Linked DNA regions of Rattus norvegicus. Each later gene encodes a partner of the first gene's protein in a complex. Links are inferred from orthologs where the notes say so. Each region holds a gene or a part of one and is shown on either strand. Other genes may lie near its edges.

Region 1 (4,400 bases):
AAGAAAAGAAAAAGAAAAGAAAGAAAAAGAAATGCTCTGCTACATTCCAACCTTTCCTCAAACCCATACATTTTCTACCACTGATCTATTTTTCTTTCTCCCTGATGCCCCCACTCCTTGGACATTTTGCTAACTACTCTTGTTCACTTCTTGCAACCCCTTCTCCATGGCCCAGTCCTCCTCCTTCTGAGTCAGGTCTTGGTATCACATCACCCTCTCTGTAGTTATTGTGTATGAACAACCCCGGTGTGGATATTTTGTTCATCTCTGATTCATCATAGCAATAATTAGTATCCCTTACCTGACCTCAGCTAAGACTCTTCTCTCACTTTCTGCAAAGACACGGCTACTGTTTCTATTTCACTTACATCTCCTCCTGGACCTTCTTTCCTCTGCCTTGCTTTTAAATGCCAGCCTTCTGTAGGGTCCTGGCTCAGCTTCCCTGCTCTCATTTTATACAATATTTTTTAAAAGTATTTTGCCAATTCCTATGGTTTCTGGTTCTCCCCCCCAAAGGTGAAGACTTGCCAAGTCTATGTTTCCAGCTCAGATCTCCAAGGTAAGTTCCAGATCTCAGGATTCAACAGCTTTGGTGAGTAACCATCAATTTTTGAACTCTATGGGCTCCAAATTGAGTTTATAATAATTCCCTCTTTCAAAACTGTTTCTGCTCCTTCGTTATTAGGAGCTGAATGTAGGGCCTTGCCGTTGCAAGCAGGTGCTGTAATATGAAATGCACGTCTAGTCCCCCTCCTTGGTTGTCTCTCTATGATATGCCATCCACATCCTTTCAGTTGCCTAAACCAGAAACTGGATCTCATCCCTTGACTTCATCCACCCTCTCTATTTCTAATCAATGTTTAGGTTCTGTTGACTCCGTTTCCAGAAGTCGCTCTTGGGTCCGTCCACTTCTTTGCATCCTCACTGCCAGCCTCTCCATCTGTGCTAGCATCATCTTCCAGCCAGATTTGTGTAATGCAATAGCTTTCTAAAGTATCTTTCTGCATTCTATCTGAATCTCAACACCATGCAATCAATCCTGGCAGCACTATTTAGTGGATCCCAATGCCTCAGGAGGAAATCTACACATTATAGCAAGAGCTATAAAGCTCCCCAAGCACACTCTAGGTTGGTTTACACTGTTATTAGGAACCTTCAAGGGTACATGTTCCAGCATACAAAAACTGTGTTATACTGAACAGACATGCTATAGCCTTAAACTTTGAGCTTTTGAGACAGGATATCTTTCTCTAAGACATTTTATGCCTCTTCTGCTCTGTCACTTGGTTCTCTGTCATATTTCCCTACTTGATCACATCCATACCCCAGGAAACCCGTCTTAATCCCCAAGGGCAGAGTAGGCTGGAGATGTCCCTTTTATATATCCACAATGCTTCTTCTCTTTGTGCTACCATTCCTGGCTTACTGTCTGTTTCCCCTATAAACTCAGAGCTCCATGAAGTAGGGTTTTCGTCAGTTTTGTTAAATGCGTATCCTTGTTGCCTAGCAGTTTCTGGTCCAATAAATCTTTCCTGAGTGAAAGAGTAAGTGACAGTGGGTAAAAGCCAAACTGAGAAAGCATGAATTGTTTCATGGGCTGAGTAAATACGTAGGGTATAATTTAACAATGTTTACTTCTTGAACATAGAATCCAACTCCTTCCTTTTCCATTTACTGAACCCGAGCTCCCAGGTTCCACCCTCAGTGAAGTTACTAGACTCCCCAATTCCTTTGTGTGTCCATATTCCAATCAGACCCTCTGTGGGATTTCTAGGCAGTGATTTTCTCTGTCCCTGTGTACTTGGCTGCAGACTGCTGAGACTGCAGACTGTGTCTAGTTCGTTCAGTGTTCCCAGCACTAAGCCTAGTAAATGTTCATTAAACATTGCAAACAAATATGGGGATGGAAAGGGAACATGCATTTTAAGATGTTCATTGAAGCAATGAAGATGCTACTGATGGGAGGAATGAGTCATTTGCAGCCGGGATGAGGGAAAGCAGTAGGAAGGGAAGGTGACACAAAGGAATGGGGTGACTGTTGCCAGGGGAAGTTGGCTCTAGGCAAGTGAGAAAAGGGATACTTGGGGCGCTGTGGAAGGGACTCAGAGACCTTCAGAGTGACAGAGAAGACATGCAGATGGGTGGAGGACTTGACCCTGGGAACAGAAGAGTTTGGGGACAAATGGAACAAGAAAGGTAGCATTCCCTTGTGCTGGTTAAATTCAGATCTGAATGTAGCCCTCTTTTCTTGGGAAAGGTTGGGGTGGGGTGGGAGACTATTACAACTCTTATCTCCCATTCAGGCAGTCCAGAGAGCTTATGCCCTCACCGGCCCAGCCCTCCTTTGCCCTTCATTCAGAGGTTCCTGTCGCTCTCTCTCCTTGGTACTGGCTCTGTGAACTGGATGTTAAAGGAAAAGAAAGCTAGACCTGCTGACAAGAAGAGGTCCTTGTTTCCCGGCTGTGTGATGCTGAGCTCGGGGATGATCTGAGTAGCTATGGCAGAGCAAGTATGAAGTCGGGGGTTTTGAACCATGATGGGAAGGTGTTGGAGTTATGAGAGCTTGGGAGCGCAGTGTGTGAAGGGGGGGGGGGGGTCTCTGTGTGAGTCGCGGAAGTCCTACAAAGGAAAACTATGGGCAGCTGACAGAATAGAGGTCAGAAGGGTTCTTGAATAATGCTGTGGGGTTCAGTGAGAAGGGCTTAGGGAGGCACCCACCTCTGGTCCCGGTTCCGCGGATACGAGGGGGTTCACAGCTGAGGTTCCCGGCACTACTGCTGTTGAGAAGGGAGACACCCGGGCGGCACAAAGAAGACCCCGACCCGGGTCCTGGTCCCTGCACGCTGCGGTTCAGCTTGAGCAGCTCCATGGCTCCAGTGAAGTCCCACTTAGCTCTGCTAAGCGAGCTCTAGCACCGGTTCCACCTGCTCCCGCGGCGCTGGTGGCTCAGGCTCCCGCCCACCACATCGCCCGCCCCTCCTAGTTTCCGCCCCCTGCCCTGGCCCCAACTCCTCCACTCCCCCACCAGCCTCCCCTTAACCTCAGCCGGTTCCAGGCTCTAGGCGGCTTTTTGTCCCACCAGGTGACTCTCGGCGCGCCTCCTCGGCTCCAGAGTTCAGCGCGCGCTCCTGAGTGACTGCTCTCCAGGCTCGCCCCCGCGCTAGTTTCTCCCTTCTTCTCTTAAAGATGCCTTTTCTGCCCACCTCTTATACCAATGCCCCTAGTTCTGGAAGAGTGTGTGTGTGTGTGTGTGTGTGTGTGTGTGTGTGTGTGTGTGTGTGTGTGTGTGTGTTTACACGTGCGCCTGCCGGAGGGATGGGGTGATGGGAGAGTGAGTAGCTACTGTGGAGTCCAGCATCTTTCTTTGGTGGTTTAGATGACGTGGTGATGGCGGTGGTGATCCGGTTTTGCGTACCAGGCTCCCCTGCTACAGAGCAGGTGCCTTAGTACGTTTGGAGCCGCAGTTACGGAGTTCTGCCGCAGTGGCCGCAGTGATCGCCACAGTGTCAGCTACCTTAGCTCTTTGGTGAGGATTAGCTTCTGCCTTGGCATATCCCACCTCCTATCTGAAACTCCAAACCTAGGCTTCTTCTTCAAAGACTCTAAAGAGGGTCCTGGAGGGTCGCAAAGAAGACAAGGAAAAGGGTTGGAGTGAACTAGGGCGACCGGGAATTGAAGTGAGAACTGCTCTAAATGAACTGAGTTGAGGTGTGGTACGGGTTCTGGTATGGGTTCTAGTTCTCGCCCTGACCAGGGTGAAAGATAGGGAGCAGGCAGCGTCCCTCGTCTTTAGGCAGCGTCCACCCACACCTAAAACGACGATGCTCCATTTGCTGTCAGCATAGGTGCAGCACCGGGGTAGGGTGTTGGGTTCCCATGAGAGGGGGCCAAGGGAGGACTGGGTCACTGGGTTGTGGCAGGAGAGAGCAGGGAACAAAGTCGAAGGCGCCTCTGGTGTGCAAGAAGGCTCAAGTGGACTCTGCTTCCTTAGGCAGGACTGGCCTCCTTTTCTTTTTCAGCCTTGTTTCTACCAGTCTCCTCCATTCCAAAGAAATTCTGGTGCAATGTGAAATATCTTTTGAGATCCCAAAGTGGCTATCAGAGGTTGGGTGGAGAGGGATACGAGGAAGAGAGAATTAGAGTTGGGGGTGGGGGTGGGGGAGTCTGGATATATGGGGAATTCAGAATCAGTATCCTGACTGTTTTGAAAGGACCTGATCACTCAGCAGAGTTCATAAGGGCTGAAGCGCTGGAGGAGGGGTTAAGCCTGTGATGTCATCATCCACTGTTACCCCTGCTCTTCTGAGAGCCCAGGATCAGAGGAACCCGATGTGCTGTTTGCTCACCTCCAGCACAGGTGGTATCTCTGATAATCCGATGAGCTTTTCCCACATTGGATG
Region 2 (4,466 bases), on another chromosome or scaffold:
CCTTGGAAGGTTTAAACCTTCCTAGAGTCACACATTGTGTGTGTGTGTGTGTGTGTGTGTGTGTGTGTGTGTGTGTGTGTGTGTGATTAAATTAGGTTCTATGTGTCTAGGTGCATCCAAGGAAGTGAGAAGAGGGTTGGATTCCCTGGAACTGGACTTATAGGCAGCTGTAAGCCAGCTATATGTGACCTGGATACTGAATCAGAATTCTCTGAAAGAGCTGTAAAAGCTTAACTGCTTAACCTCTAACCATAACCCGAACCCAGGTAGATTCTTGATCAGTGCTACTCTTTGGTCTGCCTCTAAGGTGTACTCAGCTCTCCTTCCTGCCTCAACCCCTCTCCAGTCAAGTACACGACAGGACTCAGGGATACATTGCAAGCTAGTTTATTTTTAATATGTTTTGTAAGGACTGAGCTGGGGGTGGCTGGAGATGGCTGGGCTCTGGAAGAGCATTGCTAGTTATACTGGTCTTCTTCCTCAGCGCTACGGCGACCAAAGTCCATCCATCCGTATGCTTCCTCTTCTTCCTCCATTGGTGGCCTCTGTTTCTTGGACAGATCTAAGGAGGTGACAGGAGGTAAGAATGGAGAGAAGAAGGCCAAGTCTCAAGGAACTGTGGGATCAGTATGGGGGAACCATGGCCAAATCTGCCTGGGTCAGCAGTTACTACCTGCTATGAAGTGTTGCGGACCTTGGGGCCCCAGCTGTCTCCGATGGTGAGAGGCTGGGCCCAGCTTTTCTAGCTGGTGCTGTTCCAGGGCCCCATTGGTCCTTGGTCCAGAGGATGCATCCTGTAGCTGGGAGCGAGGTTTCCAAGAAGCTTCCGAGAAGGTAGCTAGAGCCAGCACTAAGACTAGCATGCACACACACAGTCGAGGCATCTTGTCTGAGAAGGGAAAAGAGCTGGGTTTCAAGATGGGGCTATTCCACAGTCCCAGAGGTAAAGGGCTAGACCGGATGGGCTCTAAGCTGCCTGGCTACACAAAGAGAGAGAGAGAGAGAGAGAGAGAGAGAGAGAGAGAGAGAGAGAGAGGGAGAGGGAGAGGGAGAGGGAGAGGGAGAGGGAGAGGGAGAGGGAGAGGGAGAGGGAGAGGGAGAGGGAGAGGGATCTGGTCTCAATGGAATAAGGTATAGAGCAACAGACTTCCTCTGATGTCCATATGGGCACTGGCATTGCCACCCAAATGTGTCACACACACACACACACACACACACAAGCACACAGCACACATGCATATGCACACACACACGATTTCAAATGCAAAAAACAATAGCCATAGAACAGTGTTTTTCCAGACTGCTCCGCCAGATGAGGCTAGGTCCAGTGACTCTTAGGTGACTCTTAGAGCTTAAAGGGAAATTTAAAATACAACGACAAAGATGCACGCACACTAAAGGGTGTTATAGATCATACACTGTCACTTGGAGACCATCAGCATGTCCATCGGGGGCTGGGCCACATGGTTGCTAGGCAACCTTGGAGGAGAGGCTCCACTGTGTTTAGCTGCTGAGCAGCCTGCAACTGCACTTATGCAGCTAAGGAAAAAAAAAAATTAACCCCAGCTTTTGCAGCTAAGCAGGAGGGTGAATGGAGTCTGGAGAAACTACAGCACGGACCTAAAGTGGAATGCCCAAGCAAACATCAAGTTCCAAACCTTACCTGTTCTTTGGACTTGATGTTTTCTGTTTTGTTTTTGCTTTTGCTCCTTTTTTTTTAAAAAAACTTTCCCCCATAAGAAAAATGTGTATTAAAATATATTAGAAGCTGGGCGTGGTGGCACATGCTTTTAATTCCAGCACTCAGGAGGCAGAGGCAGATGGATCTCTGAGTTCGAGGCCAGCCTGGTCTACAGAGCTAGTTCCAGGGCAGGCAGGGTGGTACTAGAAAAACCCTGTCTTGAAAAACAAAAACAAAAACGAAAACAAACAAACAGAAAAACCCTTTAAAACATTAGCTTTTTATGACAAAATTTTCAGACTAGATTTTCTGTGGGAGAGAAACATTTGTGGCTAATAAAGAAATGTTGAAAAATCGTAGCTGGATATGCTGGCTCCTGCTTCTATCTCAGTACTTGGGAGGCTGAGGCAGGAGTGCCTTATGTTTAAGACTCTGTGGGTGCTAGGCCAGTCTGGGCTAGAGCGATACCCTACCAAGAAGGATGACTGAAAAGAATAGGGGAAACAATGCTAGAGAGAGTCATTCTGTCCAATACGAGCCATACAGCTTGATAAATATGGCAGTCACTAGCTATTTGTGGCTCCTTACATTTGGATGAATTGCTATTCAATTTTTCTACCTTTGAATTAGCTGGGTGGTAAGTACCCATGTGGCTAGTGGCTGCCATGTAGGAAAGTATGGATTTAAAGCATTCTCGTTATCACAGGATGTTCCTTTAGATAGCCCTGGCCTAGGAAAGGGCTTGAGATGGGATCCAGAGCTGTGGGCTGCAGCCTTAGCACTGCCTACTAAAGTCTAGTAATTCCTAGCCTCTGGACCGTGGTTTTCTCATCTTAGCAATGGGGGAAAAGCCCTCGCTTGCTCACCTCCCTGACTGGCAGGAACCCCAGGATCATGACTGGGTCCTGAGTGAAGTGGTCCTGAGTGGGAATCAAGGACAACAGTGTGGCCTTAGAGCTGAGACTCAATTCCATTCTAGGCTAAGCAAAGGGCCCCATCTTTGGAGACACCGTGGCCTGGAGCCTTTATAGGAAGGGGGCTTGTCAATTCTTTTTTTTTTTTTTTTTTTTTTGGTTCTTTTTTTTCGGAGCTGGGGACCGAACCCAGAGCCTTGCGCTTCCTAGGTAAGGGCTCTACCACTGAGCTAAATCCCCAGCCCTGGGCTTGTCAATTCTAATCCCTATTGTCCCCTTCCCTTCCCTCCCCTTCCCTCCCCTTCCCTTCCCTTCCCTTCCCTTCCCTTCCCTTCCCTTCCTTTCCCTTCCATGCCCCTCCATGCCCTTCCATGCCCTTCTCCTCCCTTCCCAGTTTCTCACCTGCAGAGCTGGGGGAACGGTTAGCTGTTGTGGCAGTAGGTCAGCTCTGCTCTGCTCTGCATGCTGCTCCAGGCCTCCTTATATAGCCCTCTAGGTTCCTCCCAAACCCTCCTTCCAGGTGAGGCCAGACTCCCCACAGCGAGAGAAATGGGTGTGGAGCATAGGTCCAATCTGTCACCCTGTCACAGAGCTGTCAATCAATTAGTTATCCATTCAGGATTCGGGGAAAGGGAAGGGCTGGAACAGGGAGGGGGGCAGACAGGAGACAGACTCCCTTGGTTCCAGAGCAGCTCATTCTACTGTATCCCTTGGGCCACAGGCTTCCTAGTCTTCTATTGGACTGTCTCCCCTGGGGAGGGGTGGAGAGGAGAGCCAAGAGGAAGAACGAATGGGAACCAAATGACCTAAGATTCAGAGGTGCCCGTATGTTGATGTCTGAAGGGCAGGCAGTGTGCAAATGTAGGGTGATTTATTGATCCCTGTCCCCTCCATTGGGCTTTGCAAACAGGATATGTTGTAGTTATCAGGAGCAATGGGCCATGGGCTGATGGGCTCGCTCTTTCTGTTGAGAGCGTCATGTTGGTTGCTTTGGAACCTGTTAATGCTCCTGTTACCATGGAAAACCCTCAGCATCTCCTGTCTATGTCCTCTACGTTGGGCTGGATCTGCCCAACACTCTTGTACCCTCCTGCTGGGTTTGCGGCCTAATGAAACCGCTTGTCAGCCCCCTACCCGGAGCCCGTTCCTTGAGGGCCTTGCGTCTCAAGACTCTTCCATTTGGTTTTCAGGGGTAGATTGCGATTTGCATTAAGAATTCATAACTTCTCAACCAAAAAAGAATTGCGTCTTAAAATGGTTATTGAACAAAGGCATTTTTCAAAGATGTACCACGATAGAAAAATGATACTTCTCTTGGTTTATTTGATAAACTCCTTTCTGAATACCACATTCAGGCAAGGTTATAACAATCTCTGGGCCATTTTTTAATTTATTTTTATTTTTATTTATTTATTTTTTTTGTTCTTTTTTTCGGAGCTGGGGACCGAACCCAGGGCCTTGCGCTTCCTAGGTAAGCGCTCTACTACTGAGCTAAATCCCCAGCCCCTTAATTTATTTTTTTAATAACTGAGATGAGGCATTTGCTCTCATTCATGCGTCATTGGGCCCCCCTTTCCTGTCTCAAGGAGCTTCGATGTCCCTTGGGTCTTGGTTTGAGGGCAGTGGTACCCACGCTCGCAGCCAGCCTTGTTGATAATTAACAGGTGATGAAGGATGCAGGCTGCACTGTGACCATGGCAACCGGCACCCAAATGTTCTAGTGAGTAACCGCTCTAATCCAGAGCAGGACACGGTGACTCAGCAGATGGAAATAAGAAAAGAAAAGGGAGGAGAAAAAAAAAAAAGACAAAACAGCAGCACAGGCATTGACAGTAATTAATTGAATCACAAAAATCTCAGGGATAGAAGGT
Region 3 (4,286 bases), on another chromosome or scaffold:
CAAAACCATGCTCTAGTGGGAAATTGGGAACCCAGGGAGCAAAGAGGCCACATTAGCCTTGGTGGGACCTCAGGAAGGGTTCTGGGAGGAGATCCGTCAATGGAATGTTAAGGAACAATTAAGTACGGAAAATACAAAGTCTTACAGCAAGACAAATGCAGCATCTACACTCTTGAGACTTCGTGGAGCCCACAATGGACACGGTTTCTCCTGGTGTGTCCAGTTCAGGTTGTCACCAGAGCCCCCAAAATCTATCTGGGCTTAGCTAGTCGGTCTGCTTGAACTGGGTGGGGGATTCCCTAGGGGGCGGACCTGCAGTCAGACTGCTATCAGCTTCTCTAGTTGTCCGGCCAAGCTGCCAGGGGAAACTAGCTTGCCAGTGTGTACCACATCTGCCTCAGCCCTGGTGACAGTGACTGTGCCCGCCTTCTGGCAGGGATGCAGGGTATGGAGGGAGACAGTGTGCGGGTGGGGCAGCAGGCGTGGTTCTGGCTGGGAGGGAAGATTGGCACTTTTCCAGCTTAAGTCCCCGTTGCCTGGACAGAGTCTCTGGCTATGTAGATCTGGTGCTCAGAATTTCTAAACTGCTACAGCTAGGGTCTCAGTGTCACCTTACTCCTTCATGGGAAGTTGATTAATTCAAGTCAAGACCCCTTCCCAGGTAGCAATGACAGACTGGTCATGCAGACTGGGTTGTCCACTTCAGGCGGAGCTCCCTGGCTGCACACCTTTTGCAGGGTCTTAGTCTCGCCATGGGTACTCCTGTGACACAAGCTAGGAATTTCATTTTAGACGAAGGAAAGGCCAGAGGGACAGGATCTTGGGATAGGCTGATCCGTGAGAAAGTGCTAAGTAAGAAGGAATACCCGGTCCCACACAGCCTGGCCCAAAAGCTGAGCAGAGCTCTAAGGGACAAGCCTGTCAGCATAGAGGAAAAACAGGCCAGGAGTCCTGTGCAACCCCCTTCCCCCTGCTCTCTGGTCCAGATCCACATCTCTTTGGCCACCACAGTAACTGCAGTAAACCTGGGAGGGGCTGGTAAGGGGCTCCCGGCTGGGCACCGGGACGTAGCGATCCCGGAAGTGCCCTCCCTAGGCCCAGCAGTAACGGACATTCCGCCGCCGCGTCGACACCCACTCACTGCTTGCCGCACTCGCAGCAGAGACAGGAAGAGGCAAGCGCCCAACGCAAAGCAGCCCAGGAGGCTGGGCCGCCGCCCCTTCCCGCCCCTTCTCTTCCTCCCCGCGGCAGCAGTGGAGCGGATGCCATTTTGAAACCTCCGGGGCTGTGCCCCCAGGCCGGGTCCGCCGGGACAGTCAACAGATGGATCCATAAAGACATACATGTTGTTTCTCGGCCACAGGCCTGGCAAAAAAGCCAGGCTTTTCACAACATGCAGGCCCCAAGGCGGCCCTGGGGCTGAGGGGCCACACCCCCCCACATACTATCCAGCCGATTACGCTGCTGCGCGGCTTCTGCTACCGCTAGGGCCTTCCTCTCCACAATCCAGAGGACCCAATCTTCTCAAGTCAGGCCCCCATAGGGAACCACTCTAACTACCAGTGGGAGTCTGGACACAGCATCAGGCCCACTGCCTTTGCCAAAGCCTAACTGGGATGCTTGAGAGCACACGGGGCTACAGGCAGCTGACTCCTACTAGCCCCTCATTCAGCCTGCCCACCACTCTCCATCACAGTATTCCTTTAGGGAACCAACAGGTCCACTCAGTATCCTAGGCCATATCTCAGGCGTTTCAGCCCCGAGTATGAGAACCCCAGCACCCGTCAGCAGATCTCTACAGGCATAGAGGGCAGCAATATGTCGGTTGGCTCACTACTTCCACTTCCCCCCCATCCCAGCAGCCACCATCTTCCTTGGCCTTGGAAGTGGCTACAACCCTAACTCCTCCATGTTCCCTCCTCTTGCCCAGACTCCCCTGGCCCTGGCCCAGACAAGCCTTGGGACCTAGGGAACACATTCCCAAAGAACGGAACTTCCCACAGATGCTTGAGGCCTGGCCCCGTTCCCCCAGTGTGACTATTAAGAGCTTCGGTCCAACCTCTTGGAAAGGGTCTGCCCAGCTCAGTCTAGGCCCACTCCAGCCCCCCGGTTCCCCTCCTATCAAGGTCCACCTGGAGCAAGAGGGTGCAGATCAAGGGAATGCCAGAGTGTGAGAAAAGACTTAAAAGAGGGCCAGATGATACCTGCAGAGAGAGATATCTGGTGACCTGGAACAGAGGCCCTGAGGGGAATCCTGCTACAGAGAACTTGAGAGTGGTCAGTTTCCCTCTTCAAGAGGTTCTTAAGGGGTCAGAGTGCACAGAGGGAGAATACAGATTCCAGAGTGAGGAAAAGAGGGAGTGGGTTGAGGCTTGACAGGGGTCCCAAGGAATGCTCATGCCAATAGAAACAGAACAGGTAGGGCTTGAAGATGGGAACCTGTAGGGTACTGAGGGTTTAAGTAAAGCCTAAGAAAGTGGGGAATTAAAAGGCAGGGGTTAAGTTCTCTTGAGACTGGATAGTAAGGGTGGGGGGGGATAGCCATGCAAGGTTTGGTGTCTGGGATCTGGGATGAGTTGAGGGTCTGAACTAGAGTCTGGACTAGGATTATAAATCTAGACCAATCCGGAGTTTCGAATCTTAAAAGGGTGGGTCCTAGGGGTTTCAAGCGCAGGTGTAGGGTCCAAGGCTAGGCTGAGTAGTTTCAGGTCCTTCTCTGGGGATTAGCGTTGAGAGTCAAGGGTCCCAGAACGGGGCGCTGCCTCACCTAACAGAAGCAACTTCACCTCCCGTGCCGCCTTCTCGCCGTCCTCCCGCAGGTTCTTGTCGATCATCTTAGAGCGCTCGGCTGCCGCCTTGTCCTCGGCGCTCACGGTGCAGCCCATCCTGCCGTCCGCCGGCCCGGCCTGGCCCCCACACGGCCCACGGCCCGGCTCGGCCCCGCCCGACCCACTCCGCTCCCACCGCCGGCCCTCTGCGGGAAGCTCTCAGGTCCGCAGTTCCGAGCGACTGCGGGAGGCGCCTTCCCGGCCGCCGCGCACCGACGGCGGGGCGGGCCAGGGGTGGGGCCCGGGCGAACCAAGCTCGCGACTGGGCCGGGGCGGGTCTGGAGGAGGGGCCAAAAGAAATTTGGGACTGGTGATTGGTTGGAGGGCGGAGCCAAGGGAGAAGTTAAGCTCAGTCTAGGCTTGGGCTGAGAGCGGGGCCGCAACGAGGGAAGACACCAGGGGTAGAGCTAACACAGGCTTAGGCCTCTGGGCGGGCTGCAGGAGGAGCTCGTCTCCGATTGGACGCTGAGAGCCTGGGGCTCTGTTTCTGGACTGAAGGACCAGTTGATCTAGTAGCCCAAGGGTCAGGAATACCTGCCCTCGCCACAGGCCGAATAGAAACCAGGACTCTCTCAGCATTTATGAATTATGAGAGTAAGATGGAGGAGGTGTGTCTTCTTCACTTGCTTTTTAAAAGTGAACCAATCTTATTTAAAGATCTCCTAAACTCCGCGGAGGGCACAAGATGTCTTTCTGGACCTCGGTTTTCTTTAAGGCAGCTTCTTTCCCCATTCCTGTCTAGGTTGAACAACGTCAAAAACAAAAACCAGTTCACTGCCGCTTTTACACCTTTAAGTGGACTATCTTTTGTCATCTAAACTTAGTTCTTTTGCCCGATAGGTTGGGAAGCATCGTCCTGCAAGCAGTGGTCGGGGGCTTCACCCAAAGACCAGTGAAACTGGACTCTAGCGGGAGAGATAGACGGAAGAGAAATTGCCATTGGACTTAGGGAAACAAACGATGCATGATTTATAAATCTGTTCCTTCCATCCTCGGTCAGCTTCTAGAGGCTTCTTCAGTCCAGTGTCTCTTCTGAATAGTGGCTGTAATCCTGAGGTTGGGCGAAGGTAGAAGTGGAGATGCTTCAAATTGTGATCTGCTTTTTAACAGGGGCCTGTGACCTACCTCCCGCCCCCCAACTTCGATTGGACGATTGAAGTGTTTTCCAAGCATTACCCAGTAAGGTGTTCTGAGCGGCCCCAGACTAAAGGCAGACAGGGACATTGCCATCAAGAGTTGGTCATAGCCTCCTGTTAATACAGCACTCCCTGGATGAAGAGAATGTTCCAGTTTCTACCCTTCAACTTGCTTGCTCACTCTGGAGTGTCTGTGTGTCTCAATCATCAGAATGTCTGTCTTCCCTGTTGAGGAGTCATTAGCCTGCGCTCATCCAGTGGTTCCCTCAGGGTACCTGCCTGAAGCCAAAGCAGGCCTTGCCCTAGGCATGCAATAAATAGG

What was found. The genes of interacting proteins can lie anywhere in the genome.
Region 2: the proteins of Cckbr (region 1) and Gast are in contact, whole or in part, in a cryo-EM structure (PDB 7XOW), measured with the Homo sapiens proteins. The link is inferred for Rattus norvegicus from reciprocal best matches to the Homo sapiens genes CCKBR and GAST. Residues at the interface, in NP_795344.1 of Homo sapiens: Cys107, Pro114, Asn115, Gly118, Thr119, Phe120, Met134, Gly135, Val138, Tyr189, Gln204, Cys205, His207, Leu222, Val349, Tyr350, Ala352, Asn353, Arg356, Pro361, Ala363, His364, Leu367, Ser368, Ile372, His376, Tyr380; in NP_000796.1 of Homo sapiens: Glu85, Ala86, Tyr87, Gly88, Trp89, Met90, Asp91, Phe92.
Region 3: the proteins of Cckbr (region 1) and Gnai2 are in contact, whole or in part, in a cryo-EM structure (PDB 7F8V), measured with the Homo sapiens proteins. The link is inferred for Rattus norvegicus from reciprocal best matches to the Homo sapiens genes CCKBR and GNAI2. Residues at the interface, in NP_795344.1 of Homo sapiens: Thr87, Thr89, Arg152, Ala155, Ile156, Pro159, Leu160, Ala162, Arg163, Val164, Thr167, Ser169, Ile241, Gly248, Leu249, Lys328, Val331, Leu335, His394, Arg396; in NP_002061.1 of Homo sapiens: Glu28, Ala31, Arg32, Glu33, Val34, Lys193, Leu195, Thr220, Phe337, Thr341, Asp342, Ile344, Ile345, Asn348, Leu349, Lys350, Asp351, Cys352, Gly353, Leu354, Phe355.

Annotation. Positions count from the first base shown.
Region 1 is NC_086019.1:169,182,082-169,186,481, reverse strand, and holds the start of Cckbr (gastrin/cholecystokinin type B receptor), read right to left. Parts: upstream 2,905-4,400; 5' UTR 2,870-2,904; coding exon 2,719-2,869; intron 2,510-2,718; exon of another isoform or gene 2,304-2,509; intron 2,197-2,303; exon of another isoform or gene 591-2,196; intron 1-590. UniProt on the Homo sapiens protein: Receptor for gastrin and cholecystokinin. The CCK-B receptors occur throughout the central nervous system where they modulate anxiety, analgesia, arousal, and neuroleptic activity.
Region 2 is NC_086028.1:85,763,787-85,768,252, reverse strand, and holds Gast (gastrin precursor), read right to left. Parts: upstream 3,038-4,466; 5' UTR 2,998-3,037; intron 2,846-2,997; exon of another isoform or gene 890-2,845; 5' UTR 885-889; coding exon 674-884; intron 563-673; coding exon 459-562; 3' UTR 373-458; downstream 1-372. UniProt on the Homo sapiens protein: Gastrin stimulates the stomach mucosa to produce and secrete hydrochloric acid and the pancreas to secrete its digestive enzymes. It also stimulates smooth muscle contraction and increases blood circulation and water secretion in the stomach and intestine.
Region 3 is NC_086026.1:117,184,586-117,188,871, forward strand, and holds the start of Gnai2 (guanine nucleotide-binding protein G(i) subunit alpha-2), read right to left. Parts: upstream 3,038-4,286; 5' UTR 2,886-3,037; coding exon 2,768-2,885; intron 1-2,767. UniProt on the Homo sapiens protein: Guanine nucleotide-binding proteins (G proteins) are involved as modulators or transducers in various transmembrane signaling systems.